2 linked regions of the Caenorhabditis elegans genome follow. The protein of the gene in region 1 purifies or fractionates together with the protein of each later gene. This does not show direct contact. Each region holds a gene or a part of one and is shown in the gene's direction. Other genes may lie near its edges.

The links. The genes of interacting proteins can lie anywhere in the genome.
Region 2: the proteins of snu-13 (region 1) and nifk-1 fractionate together in Caenorhabditis elegans (co-fractionation; one large-scale study listed by BioGRID). This does not show direct contact.

Annotation. Positions count from the first base shown.
Region 1 is NC_003280.10:10,655,745-10,663,251, reverse strand, and holds snu-13 (Small nuclear ribonucleoprotein associated homolog 13), read left to right. Parts: upstream 1-4,625; 5' UTR 4,626-4,637; coding exon 4,638-4,793; intron 4,794-4,873; coding exon 4,874-5,104; 3' UTR 5,105-5,225; downstream 5,226-7,507. Other genes in the region: D2089.8 (Cysteine-rich DPF motif domain-containing protein 1), read left to right, coding at 479-636, 689-944; marc-2 (RING-CH-type domain-containing protein), read left to right, coding at 2,293-2,391, 2,435-2,874, 2,924-3,005; rsp-7 (putative splicing factor, arginine/serine-rich 7), read right to left, coding at 1,130-1,787, 2,048-2,181, 3,044-3,220, 3,537-3,655, 3,704-3,854, 3,923-4,042; lact-3 (Beta-lactamase-related domain-containing protein), read left to right, coding at 5,584-5,738, 5,943-6,066, 6,833-7,229. UniProt on the Caenorhabditis elegans protein: Binds to the 5'-stem-loop of U4 snRNA and may play a role in the late stage of spliceosome assembly. The protein undergoes a conformational change upon RNA-binding.
Region 2 is NC_003281.10:4,689,012-4,694,980, reverse strand, and holds nifk-1 (RRM domain-containing protein), read left to right. Parts: upstream 1-1,682; 5' UTR 1,683-1,691; coding exon 1,692-1,895; intron 1,896-1,940; coding exon 1,941-2,054; intron 2,055-2,102; coding exon 2,103-2,618; intron 2,619-2,662; coding exon 2,663-2,752; 3' UTR 2,753-2,883; downstream 2,884-5,969. Other genes in the region: T04A8.8 (Rad60/SUMO-like domain-containing protein), read right to left, coding at 1-452, 499-668, 715-976; ppat-1 (Amidophosphoribosyltransferase), read right to left, coding at 2,902-2,997, 3,042-3,206, 3,502-3,617, 3,666-3,975, 4,211-4,471, 4,518-4,923, 5,548-5,636.

The DNA of each region.
Region 1 (7,507 bases):
AGTATTCACAGAATTTTGGAAAACAACTGTGAAAACCCTCAAACTCAAGAAAAAACAGATATTCTCATTGTGAAATTGCTCGTTAATCGAGAAAAATAGAATACGATTCCATTTTGCTCCTATTTCTCTGTTAAATATTCCAAAAATTTTTTTAACATTTGCCCGTGCTGTGATCTTTTATATACAACCAATTTTTAAAGCTTATTAAAAATTTTACAAAGAAATCTTTTTAAAAAATCCACCCGTCAAATACCTGTTTTCGTCAATCTAATTATTTCTAGGCCTGGAAAGAGAGACCCCGCCCATTTTTCGATCGTACCACTACAGATGCAAGTGTGCTCTATTGCGAAACTAATTTTAAATTCGAAATTAAGACATTTTTTCATTTTTAGTCGATTAATTAATGAATAAATTTCTCTGGGAATTTTCTAAATTAATTTTTAAAGCAAAAATCAAGTATTTTTACATCCAGATTTCAATGAACGAGCCGCAGCAACCTTCAACATCTGAAAATGCCACTGCAGTGACAAGTGAAGAGCAACCACAACTTATTGATCCATTTATCGATTTTGAATGCCACGTGTGTCATTTAAAAGAGAGAACATTGTTCGGAGAACTTAAAGTTATTGATGGACGGTAAGAATTAGAATTTTAATTTTATTCCTAAATAAAAACTGATTCTTTTCAGCTACGATTCTCCGGTCTACTTTATGAGGGATCCATTTAAGCCGCCATCCCGTGATCGGGCCAAGAAGCCGTGTCTCAACGATTTCCTGGTACTCGGAACTCCATGCTCTGCTTGCAATCAACCCGTCTGCATGTCAGATGCTTGTTCACTGTTTTTCGGAGCCAATTTTTGTGCTCCGTGTGTTAGTAGAGAGCGTCGCCGATTTCCACCTCAACTTATTCGGGGAATTATTACTAAATACGAAGCAAACATTTAAGATTTTTATTTTTGTGCATTTTACGTTACGGAAATAAATAATGACATTTGTGTTTTGAATAAAATCAATGATCGAAGGAAGATGTGAATATCTCACAATTAAAATACAGAAATAATGAAGGTGGTCGGTTAATCAAGATTCTGAACAGGAAACAAGATAAGATTTAAAACAATAAAACAAATAGATCACTCGGATGCCATGACAACATCTCCATTTCCAATTTCTTCATTCTTGACCTCGCCATTAGTCGGTGTTGGCTTTTCCTCCCATTCATCATCAGAAGAGTCTTTCCGGGCGGCCTTTTTCTCGAGAAGCTTCTCACGTAGCGAAGATTCATTCTCGTTTTCTTTCTTCTCGGTTTTTCTATCTTCCTTATCACGTCGTTTTTCAGGTGATCTGCTTCGACTGCGCTTCTTGTCACGCTTTCGATCTTTGGATCTTGAACGAGACCTTTCACGTTTACGATCACGAGATTTGGAACGTCTTCTGCGATCTCTGCTTCTCGACCGTTTCCTATCACGATCCTTGTTGTCACGACTGCGACTGCGGCGTTTACGATCTCTGCTACGGCTTCTCTTCCTGTCACGATCACGGTCACGATCACGACTTCTAGATCTTCGGTCGCGACTTCGCCTTCTGTCACGATCTCTGTCACGGTCACGATCACGACTATCCCGTCTGCGACGCGGTGACGGCGAACGACGACGACGTGGTGATCGCGAACGGCGCCGATCCCGATCATCTCCGTTTCTACCCATCCGAATCGCTTCCTCGATTTCTCCAAGAGCTTGTTCGTCTGTTTTGGCTTGTGGTTTGATGATGGCAACGCGAGAGTGTTGAATTCTGAAGAAAAATATTTTAATTATTGGATTTAAAAGTTTTAAAATTTAGTTGACTTATTTTAAAGGTAGAATCGCGTGGACGGGGTTTTTAATTTTTAAAAAAATTAAAAATTAAAAAACAGACAACCATAAAAGAAAAACGGCGGAAAATTAGCCAAAATTGTGTCAAAATATTTTTTTTTGTTTTTCTTTTATGGTTTTTTTTTCTGAATTTGAGAAAATCACCATTAACCTTTAAAAAAATTAAAACTTTAAACTCACTTCAATGGTCTCTCCTTAAACTCGAATCCATCGTTTTGAAGTGCATTGCACACTGACGCTTGCTGTGAGAATTCAACATAAGCATATGCACACGGCAATGCATCCGGTCCCGAGGCCATTCTGGCGTACATTACCTGAAACGTGAAAATATATTTAATTTTGTTAAATACAAATGTTGTATTTTTTTCAAATTTCTAATTCATTTCTAAATTGTCGGTTGCAAACTTTCTACTCGTTTTGAAATTATGTGCACAATAATCGAGAGAAACTTAGAAACTATTCGGTCACCGAAGGAAGTTTCTACAAAAACCGTAATCTGCAGAATATGTTTCGATAACGATACGGTAATTTTTCTTTTCAATTTCTAATTTAGCAATATATTTCTAGAGTTCCGACAGTCTGATCAAGCCATGCTCTTGTAGCGGAACAGTCGCCTACGTTCACAATGGATGCTTGGAGCAATGGGTCCGTACAACATCAAACATTCAATGTACCATATGTCAGGATATGTTTGAGTTGATTCCGGCAGGATTGAAAGATTGGAACAAAATTACTCTGCCGAGACCACTTTCGGAACAGCTCGAAGACTATATGGAATTCGGATGTACTCTTGCGTGGGTGGTGTATATGCTGAGATTCGCATATGTCGGACTTCGTTATGGAAGCCGTTCGATGATCGAGAATGTCGATATGGCTATTGGAACAGGAATGATGCGCAGCTTTTGGTGGATGACATTTTGGTTCAATTTTCTTTACTATGGAGCAATGTGCTTTGTTTTCTTCGAGAAATGGCTTATTGATAATACAATTTTTAAGTTCAAGGATAGGTAATTTTCTATGTTTCTGATAACTTGATTTCTAACTGATATTTTCTAGATCTGGAAGCCCGTCAAGCCAAATTTCAATTGCAAGTCGATCTAGCAAGAGAGGAATGAAAATGCCAATAAATGCACATTGATAGAAATAAATCTTTCAAAAATATCGTTTTTAACCTACCTCTCCAAAATACATGTTGAACAGTTCGAGAACCTCGTTTCCATCAACACCTTTCGGAAGATTTCCAACGTAGACTGTTCTTCGAATTTCTTCGACTTTGGCAGAATCCGTGTCAGCCGGTAGAGGTGGATAAGCCGGTAGTCCGAGCTGCTCCAGTGTCGGATCGACTGTAATCAACTGAAAAATGGAATAATTAGACGGCGCGAAAACTAGAAATATTGCAATTTCTAAAATATCAGGAATTTGAAAATTTCTAAATTTAATTGCTTTCATATCCGACGATGCGCAGCATAGATTGGCGAGGATACACTGAAACTGAAAATTTAATCATTCGGCGAGTACTAACAAAGTTTTTTGATGATTTTCTGGATTACGCTTTCGGGATTTTACTGCATTCGTCATTTGGGTAGTGGCCAGTAGAACTGTAAAATGAACAAGTAACGTCCGTTACCACCAGACGCTAGTTGGAAAACTAGTGGGAAAATAAACTTACCAAAGCAGATCCATCGTCAGATTCTTGAATTTTATTGGTGACGTGAGGTGGGAGCTGTCGCTGACCAGCCGTTGTAGATCCACCACTGTTGAAAAAACTCTCCTCGTCCGGAATCACAGCTGAAAAAATGAAACTTTATGAAAAAATGCAGCTTTCAAAAAACTCACGATTCGGATATGGTAGGCAGACTATCGCGCAATCGATGACGACTGTGTTGGTGAGATGCTGAGCTACTTCGACACATCGCTCGTCGTCGAACTTGATAAAAGCAGTTTTCAGGAGAGTATTAGCTGTGATATTACCTTCTGATGGATAGACCTGAAAGAATAAATTTTTAATTGAAATTTTTAATCGAAAAATGTGTAAATTTGGAATAATAAACCAACCTTCAAATCCTGAATTTTTCCGAGATAGTTGAACATGTTGTAGATGTGATCCCTGGTAGCCGATGTCGAAATGTTGGCGACATGGAGAATTTTTACTTTTTCTTTCTCCTCCCCCGACATTCCTGAAAATAAAATAATCAATTTTCGTCTTGAAAAATAGAAAAACAAAATGTAGTTCAATAAATTTAAACCGGCGACGTAATTTCAAAATTAACATGTAAAAATCTATCGAAAAGGCATAAACTATTAGAAAAAGTTAGATTTTTATCGAAATTTCGTTTAAAATCGATAAAAATCAGATAAAACATGTAAAATTCAGGTTAAATCGAAAATAAATGCAGCCAAATTCGAATAAAAAAGAATCACTGCATGTTTGGCAGCGTGCCAACATCTTGTCGCTGCGAGACCCGTCCACTGTCTGCGTCTCTTTTTGGGCCCTTTTCGAAAATTACAAGTAGTTTTTTTCTCTTTTCTTTTGTTTCTCCCGTTGCCCGTTGTATTTTTCTTCGGAAATTAAATAAGTTGGTACAATAAATTAAAAATAAATGGAATTTTGATTATCTATTACTTTCAGATATGTTACTAGTGCAAATCATCGTAAAAATTTGAATTTACAGCTTTGAAATCGTTTTTATTATTTTTTCTCTTGAATCGATAAATAATTCTTTCGCATTGTAGCAATTTTCAACCATCTTTATTTCAGAAAAGAAGAAAAATGGCCGATGATGGAGTCAATCCGAAGGCCTTCCCACTGGCCGATACCAACTTGTCTCAAAAGCTCATGGATCTCGTCCAGCAAGCGATGAACTACAAACAGCTCAAGAAGGGAGCCAACGAGGCCACCAAGACTCTCAACAGAGGAATCTCTGAGGTAAGTGTATCGTAACCATGTTGAATTGCATTCCCATTTTCAAAATCAATTTTCGAACCAAATTAATTGAATTGTTTCAGATCATCGTCATGGCCGCCGATGCCGAGCCACTGGAGATTCTCCTCCATCTTCCACTTCTCTGCGAAGACAAGAACGTTCCATACGTCTTTGTTCGCAGCAAGGCTGCCCTCGGACGCGCTTGTGGAGTCACTCGTCCAGTGATCGCTGCTTCAATCACTCAAAACGAAGGATCTCAGCTCAAATCTCAAATTCAGAAGATCAAGGAGGACGTTGAGAAGCTTCTCATCTAAATCCTTCTTTTATCAATTTGTTGTTACGTTACCTCATTGTTGTTATATGATAATCCATTCATTGTTTTGTTGTCCCAAATTGCAAATACATCGTTTTTGAAAAAGAATGAACGTTTCTGCGAAACATGGACATCTGATTGTTATCAAATTGCATAATCGGCTACACTGTTCTAAAGTGTATCTTGGACACACAAGTACTTCATTGGCGTATGATGATGCGAGTAAATAAACCTCCCGGAACCGGTTGCATTCTAATTCGACCCCCGTTTGCCCTAGAATGTGTCTCTTCCTAACCATTGGCTTGCTAATTCCACCCCAAACGCCGTCACAACCCGATAGGGCCGCCAAAAAAAAGGCAATCGCTGATAACTACAGGGAGTCGCTTCCTCCGGGAGAAAAGACGGTTTCTGGCAAGGCAAGCACCGCCCATCTCCGTGTGCTCTGTCTCTCCATTCCCGCCGCTCCGTGTTCCCACCAACATGCAACAGTTTTCTCTACTCTTCAAACTATTTCTAGCCACAGTTTTATTATCTGTAACTTATCGCTTTGTATGTGATCGGTTATATTCAAATCACAAATCCGATGTTAGTGGATTTGTCGATGAACGTTTCGAGAAAGTTCGAGAGGTTTTTAAGTAAGTTCGACCTTCCTGCTCTCTTTTTTTCTCATTTTTCTACCCGTGTGAAGTGACAAATGTGTTTGACTGAACTGAAATTAATATTTACTTTGCCGGCATGCGTACAGGCAAATAATCTTTTTCTATCGTCATCTTTATTTTATTTTAAAAAAAAGAAAAGGAAAATGTCTTGCAAAAATCCTGGAACTTGTATTTTTACAGAAAGAATTTCGAAAATGGATGGGAAATCGAAGGATCAGCATTCGCTGTATTTGTTGATGGAAAGAAAGTCGTCGATTTATGGGGTGGATATGCTGATAAGCAGGCGGCAAGGAAGTGGGCTGAGGTAGATTTTTGAAAACAAAAAAAATAAAATCAAGCATTTTTCAATTTCAAACTTTTTTACTATAAATCTTGGGTTTTTTGCACCAAAAATACGGTTCCCCAGGTTTTTTTTCGATTAAAAAATAATTTTCCTCGAGATTTGGTTTTTTTTCCAATAAGTAAATTTGTTTTTATCGAAAAACTACGAAAAATCGATAAGAAAAATTCCGCTGCAATATAAGTTCAAAATTACAGTACTGTTTAAAGGTGCACACAAAAATACGGTTCCATAGGTTTAACCACGACACATTTATAATAAATGCGAAAAGACGTGCGCCTTTAAAGAATACTGTAACTTTTAACATCTGTTGTTGCGGAGTTTTTATCGATTTATCGTAGTTTTCTCATTATTTTCGTAAGCTTTTTTTGTTTCCATAATGTATTAAGTAATTAAAAAAATCATGAAACTTGTCGTGTCGAGACAGTATTTTTGACTCAAAATTTCGCACCTGAATTTCCAAACTTTAACCCAATCTAATACTTTGCCCTTATTTGGAATAATTTATCGTCGGTTTCCCTCATAGCTTCGACATATATTTTTCCACTGTCGTCAGATTGATATGAACTGATAATAATATCAATTTGATACGGGGAGTTTTTCGGTTCAAAACGGTTTTTGAAGTCTATAAAATTGAATGGAATGGCACAAAAACAGAGAAAACATTTTTGAAAAAAGTTGTGACATATCAGCAAAACACAAAAATTTTTAAAAAAATTGATTGTTTCAGGACACAATAACAGTGACGTTCTCGACTACAAAAGCTGCCGCGTCATTAGCAGTTGCACTGCTCTACGAGCAAGGAAAATTGAGATATGATGACCCAGTATCCAAGTATTGGCCAGGATTTGGAACTCATGGAAGAGATAATGTTACTATAAATATGGCACTTTCTCATATGTCTGGAATGGCATGGTTTGACACTCCAATCACTGAAGAAATCGCCGCGGATCATGAAAAAATGCGGCAAATTATTGAAGAAGAAGAGCCAAAATGGGCTCCTGGAACAAAGACTGGTTATCATGCATACACTTTTGGATGGCTAGTTGATCAAATTGTTAGACATACGGATGATCAAAAACGTGGAATTGGACAGTTTTTTAGAGAAGAAATTGCAACGAAATTGGGTAAGTAGTTTTCTATAACCTAGGTGCAAAAATGTGGCGGTTTTTTTTTTCGATTTTTATTAATCGAAAAACTAAAAAGTCCAGATTTCTCTCTTTTTTTCTACTCGAAAAATGGAAATTTTCGATTTTTCGTCTTTTTTAACCGAAAAACGAAGATATTCGATTTCTACTTTTTTTTAATTGAAAAACTATAAATAAGTAGTTCCCTATTACACATTCGTGCCGAAAAACTGAAAATTAGCAATTTTGTTTTAATAAAAAATTGCGTTCGCCTTTAA
Region 2 (5,969 bases), on another chromosome or scaffold:
TCAATTGATGGAATATTCTCCTCTTTATCTTCAACGAATGCATCAATCACTTTCTGAAGAATCTCTTGAATTGTTGTATCCTTAGCTGCTTCAACTTGCACCGGCTTTCTTCGACTTGCAAGCAACACCTTGATTGTGAAAGAGTCAGGCGAATTCTCAATTGTGAACACTTCCGCAGGTTCTCCTGCTTCCTTGCTTGCTTCAATGAGTGGATGTGGTAGTGTCATCGGACGCCAACCCAAGCTTTGTGGTGTCGTGTATGTGTCAATTGTCTTGCCATTGTGACTGAAAACTACACAAGATACAGGGCATCCCCATTTCGTCGCATAAATTCTTCTAATTTCAGAGAACGTCGATTCGAGAAAGATGTCATGACGAGATTTCATATCATTTCCGTGACTTTCACAATCCAGAATAACCACTGTGACGGGAAAGTTTTCAGCAGCAATGCTCTAAAAAATAAGCAAAATTTAAGAAAAAAACAATTTTTCCTCTCACTGATTCATCCGCGTCTGAGTCGTCTTTCACATCTTCAACCTCCGGTTGTGCTCCTGATTTTGCAGCTTCGTCCCAACCTTCACAGATTTTCAACAGTCCACTAATAACATTGTTTTTCTCGACTGGTGCGTGAATAACGGTCTCTCGCTTGTAAATAGATCGACGATAAGCTAAAATATTTGTATGAGCTGTATAAAAAAGTATGATAACACTAACCTTCTTCTACATCATCAATTTCGTGTCTGACTTTTTGGGAGTATGTTTCTTTCTCTACTTCAACGCATTCATCATCATCCGAGTCGTCCGGAAAGAGTTGGGTTTCCCGCGTCTTTTTTCTCATTGGCGATGGACCGCTGGTATCGAAATCGTCGTCTGAGTCGTCGCTCTCACAAACTCGTACCGGTTGTCGCTTCTTTTGGAGAGCAGCTCTTCGATTTCCCAAATAATCGCTGTAGGCATTGTCGTCCGAATCACTCATTCCTAAAAATAAACTAAATTGGAAACGATTATTTATGCTAACATAGATCAAAACGATATCACGATTGAATCTGGAAATATTGAAAGGGAATCATTAATCACTACACAAAAATGAATGCATCTAAAAAACAGCAAAAAGGAGAATGACTTTTTCGGGAAAGACGTTAATGTTGTTTTGAAATGTAATTATTTAAGAAAGAACGCATCGAAACTCAATGATCGACGAGTCGAACAGAGAGGATAAATATAAACACTTTAAAAAACATTGAACAATTTTACGTCTCGGTACATAACTACCTCTGATATTAGGCAGTGAATAAAAGCGAAAAGTTAAGTAGGAACTGATTGGAGTTTTGAAAATAGAAAGTATGTATTTATTGTCTAAACCGTTTAGAATAATAATTGACCTTCGTGATAAGAATAAGAGATCAAAAATCGGTTGATTGGATGAAAAAGTTTAGAAATGCGACGAAACAACAAAAATGTTTGTGTGCGTGCGCTTCAGCACGAAACATGCGCCTTGCACGGAAACTGCGTCAACGAAGAAACGCGCCAGTAACACTGCTTTTGTCCCTCACAAAATTTTAAAGCTAATTTTTCTACCTTATTTCCTGATTTTTCATGTTTGAACAGCTGAAAACTCTTATAATTTGCAAAATATTGTTTTGAAAATTTTTATTGCACGAAATATACACATTTTTCAGATCTCAGACACAATGGTTGCCCAGAATCCAACTTCGATCAGTTCTGGAGGACGCAAGCAACCTCAGAAGCAAGACAAAGTCCAAAAAAAGCAGCTGAAGAAAATTTATGTTGTCAAGATTAAGCGTATTCCGTTTGGATTCTTCGAGAAGGAGTTGCTCGGGTATTTCCGTCAGTTCGGAAATGTGTTGAGAATTCGTGTGGCCAGAAACAGACGCGTAGGTTCAGCAACCTGTTAATATAGTATTAAATCATTATTTTAGACTGGTAATCATAAGGGATGGGCGTACGTTGGATTCGACAACAAGGCTGTTGCTGAAATCGCTGCCGAATCAATGAACGGTTACTTGATGTTCGAGCAACGTCTCGGGTGCACGGTAGGTCAACTTCTACCATTATATCCTTGAAAAACTTATTAAATTTAGGTGATGAAACCAGAACTTATCCCGAAGGCAATGCGCCATGGCCCACTGCTTGTGATGCGTCCATCTTACTTGGGCATCGCTAAAAAAGATACAATTGCCAGAAACAATACCACCGGAAAAAATGACGTCATCAATGCCAAGAAACGCGTGCAAAATCTCAACAAAACTTTGAAGAAGCTGCAGAATATGGGGATCAACTATGATTTCTCTGTGTCTGGAACACCAAGAACGCCACTTAAGAAGGTCATTGACAATGAGGTTCAATTTATCAGTGATGTCACCCCGAAAAGCACGACTCCGAAAATTGTGAAAGCTGCAACTCCAAAAGCAGCTACTCCAAAGGCCGTGACTCCAAAACAAGCAACTCCGAAAGTTTCCACTCCAGTCACCAAAAAGGTTGTCATCAAGACTCCTAAAACTGAAAAGCCGGAACCCAAACAGTTCACTCCAAAAACTCGCGCAGGAAAGAAGGCAGCTGCTGCTGCTACTCCACAGGCTAAATCTACGCTATCCAACGTACGAAAAACTTTAAATAAAATTTGGTTATATTAATTTTCCAGACAATCCTCAAATCCGTCGCTGCAAGTGCCCGTCCAGCTGCTGTCGAAAAGAAAACATTGAGATCTCGTGGAAAGAAGAAGAGCTTGTAAGCGTCCTGATTTCTGTTGTTAATCATTTTATTTTTTTTCCGCAAACTGTTGTTGTTCTTATTTTTATACACATTCATTGTTGATTTTTAATTGAATTGATTTTGTTTTTCATGAATACAAATAATCTATTCAAACTTTTCAAACACTAATTATAAATCGATAGCAACTGGATATTTTCCAGTGAGACATGCGGTGCAATGTCCTGGAGAGAAGTTGGCAGCTCGTTCGATTCCTTTTTGAACAGACTGAAAAAAAATTAAATTGAGGAGAAAGTGAGGTTCAAACTCACCGAAACTAAACCGTCAACCGAAAGATACCGTACTGAATCGGCTCCAACAAATTGGCAGATTTCTGGAATTGTTTTTTCGGCAGCAATCAATTCCTTTGTGGTTGGAATGTTGATTCCCATAAAACATGGGAATTTTACAGGCGGGGAAGCAATTCGTAGATGAACCTTTAAATTTAGAGGTATTATTTGAATAATGCGGTCTTGACACGATCGAAATTTCTAAGATACCGTACTCTACCGTATACTCCAGTTTCTCGTTTTTATGTATTCCGCTATTGTTTTCTTAATATTTGCTGAACATCTAGATGCACAGTTTTACAACAAATATATGTATTGGAAAAATCTGCAAAAACGGAGAATTACTCGCGTTATACGGTAGCTGAAAATTTTTGCTCGTGTCAAGACCTTTTTCACGGTTTATAAGGTGAAAAATCATTATTTTTAACAACAAGGGTAATACCTCTTTTGCTCCAGCATCTCTTAACATTTTTACCAAAGTTCTCATCGTATTTCCACGTACAATTGAATCATCTACTAACACAATCCTTTGTCCATGAATCTTTTTCTTCAATACTCCTGAAATAGAATTCATGAAGTCTTTCTAAATAGTTTTCTTTATTTTACCAAATTTCATTTTAATCGCATTTTGTCTCATCTCATCATTTGGTTCTATAAATGATCTTCCAACATATGAATTTCTGTGTAAAACAGGTTCATATGTGATTCCAGACTGAGAAGCGTATCCAATTGCTGCACTCAGCGAAGAATCTGGAACATTTCCAACAATATCTGCTTCTAGATCATCTTCAAGAGCCATCGTTTTTCCACATTCTTCACGAACAGTTTGTACTTGTTGTCCTTCAATTTCTGAATCATTTCGTGCAAAATAGACATATTCGAATATGCACATAGCCAGAGGAGTATTCGGTTTCATCTGAAATGACTCATATAATTCCAGGTTTCTGATTTTTCAGCATAGCCCATCTGTCTCGATTGTAATTTTGGAAAATACCAAAAATAACCAGAAAGTCTAAAAACTACATGTATTTGCAAAACTTTAAAAACACTTTTTTAAATTTTAATGTCTAACAAAATACATACATGAGAAAATGAGGTCAGAGAAGGCGGTAGGTAGGCGCGTAGGCAGGCCAAGATATATGTAAGTTTACCTGCCACACCGACTTGATTCCTCCTGTCGATAATTCCACAATTTCTCCTGGTCTCACTTCGAAATCTAATTTAGCATTTGCAGGAAATGCACAAGATTCAGAAGATGCAATGAATGCTTCTGGATTTCCATTTTTAGAATATACAGTACCAACACAAAGTGGACGATTTCCAAATGGATCACGAATTGCGTATAGTCTATCAAATGTCATTACTAGTAGAGAATATGACATGTTTAGTGCAGACATTGTTACTGCGAGCTCCTGAAGTTTTTTGGTTTAAGAATTTTCATGTTTTTCAAAAACTCACTCTTGTAATATCACCCATCTCTTGTCCATACTTGCATTTTACATTCAGAGCAATCGCTTTTGCAATCATTTGAGCAATAAGCTCTGAGTCAGTGTCAGTTGATAAACCAACACCTTCATGAAGTACTTCCTTTCTTTTTTGTTTCGCATCAACCAATTCTCCATTATGAGCAATTGCTACAGTACCCATTGCAGTATATACCACAAATGGTTGTACACAATTGATTCCAGACTTCTTCTTTCCTGCAGTTGAATACCTATTATGACCAATTATTATCGATTGCCCATTCATTCTTGAGATATTATCTTCAGTAATCACATCTCGGACAAGTCCATGACCTTTGATAATTTCCACGTGGTCTCGAGTGATTCCATCTGAACCAACGAGTCCTGTTGATTCAGTTCCTCTGCAAAATATACATGATAAGAATTGCAAATTTGCAACTAATTTGTTTTAGTATTTTATTTTTCTATCACGCACGGAAAACAATTTAGAAACTAGACAATATTTGCAAGAAATGCTAGACTTATTCATTTAGCTATTTCGATTTTTTGCAAACTCAAAATCACTGCACAATCTACTTGTTTGCAACAATGTCAACCACTGCAACGCTACAAGCACTTTATTGGTCGTGTGTCCGAGTGGTTAGCGCTGTTTGCTGTGACCCACGAGACGCCAGTTCAATCTCTACATACGCGTCATTTTCATCCAATTGGCAACGTGATTCTAATGTTGGCGATTCAGCGTATTTCTGACGCAAAATTGATAACTTCTCCATTGACGTCTAGTCAGACTAAACTGGCTCGGATACAATTAGGGAGTTTACACTTTTGCCTTCTTGTGGAACGATGGCTTAAGTTAAGCAGAAGCGGAATGAACGGGAAGAGAAAACGAGAGCTTTTTGAAAAATTAGATATTTAGGAATGAGGAGCTGAACAGTTAAAAATTCAAACTGAAACCAATGTAGGAGATGTATGAAATCAAACTTTTTGAGACAGAGCTTATTAAAAATTTAAACTTAAAACCCCACCTGTGTTGAAGAGCAGCCAATCCATTTGCAGCAAGAACATTCAAATGCTCATAATTTCCAGCGGCAACAATCCCAAATATACCACACATTGTTCGGTGTGATCGTCGTCAGAAATCAATTGCCTAATGTGCATGTTATTATCTTTTTCGATGCTCTGAATGTTTGATACGCCAATCATAAAACCTTTACACCCTCCACCTGCTATGTTTTTAAAGTTATTGCCTATTTTTCATGGAAAAGTTCACTTCTGTCGATAGAGCCAGGTTTTTGAACTTTTTCCGCTGATAAGAACAAGTGAATGTCTAATTGAAGTTTGATTTTAAAAGGAGTTTTTAGGTTTAATTGAAAATAAACACGTTGCTCGGGAATACGATAACTATAAGATGTGAATGAAATAAAACTTAACCTGGCGCGAGAGCTAA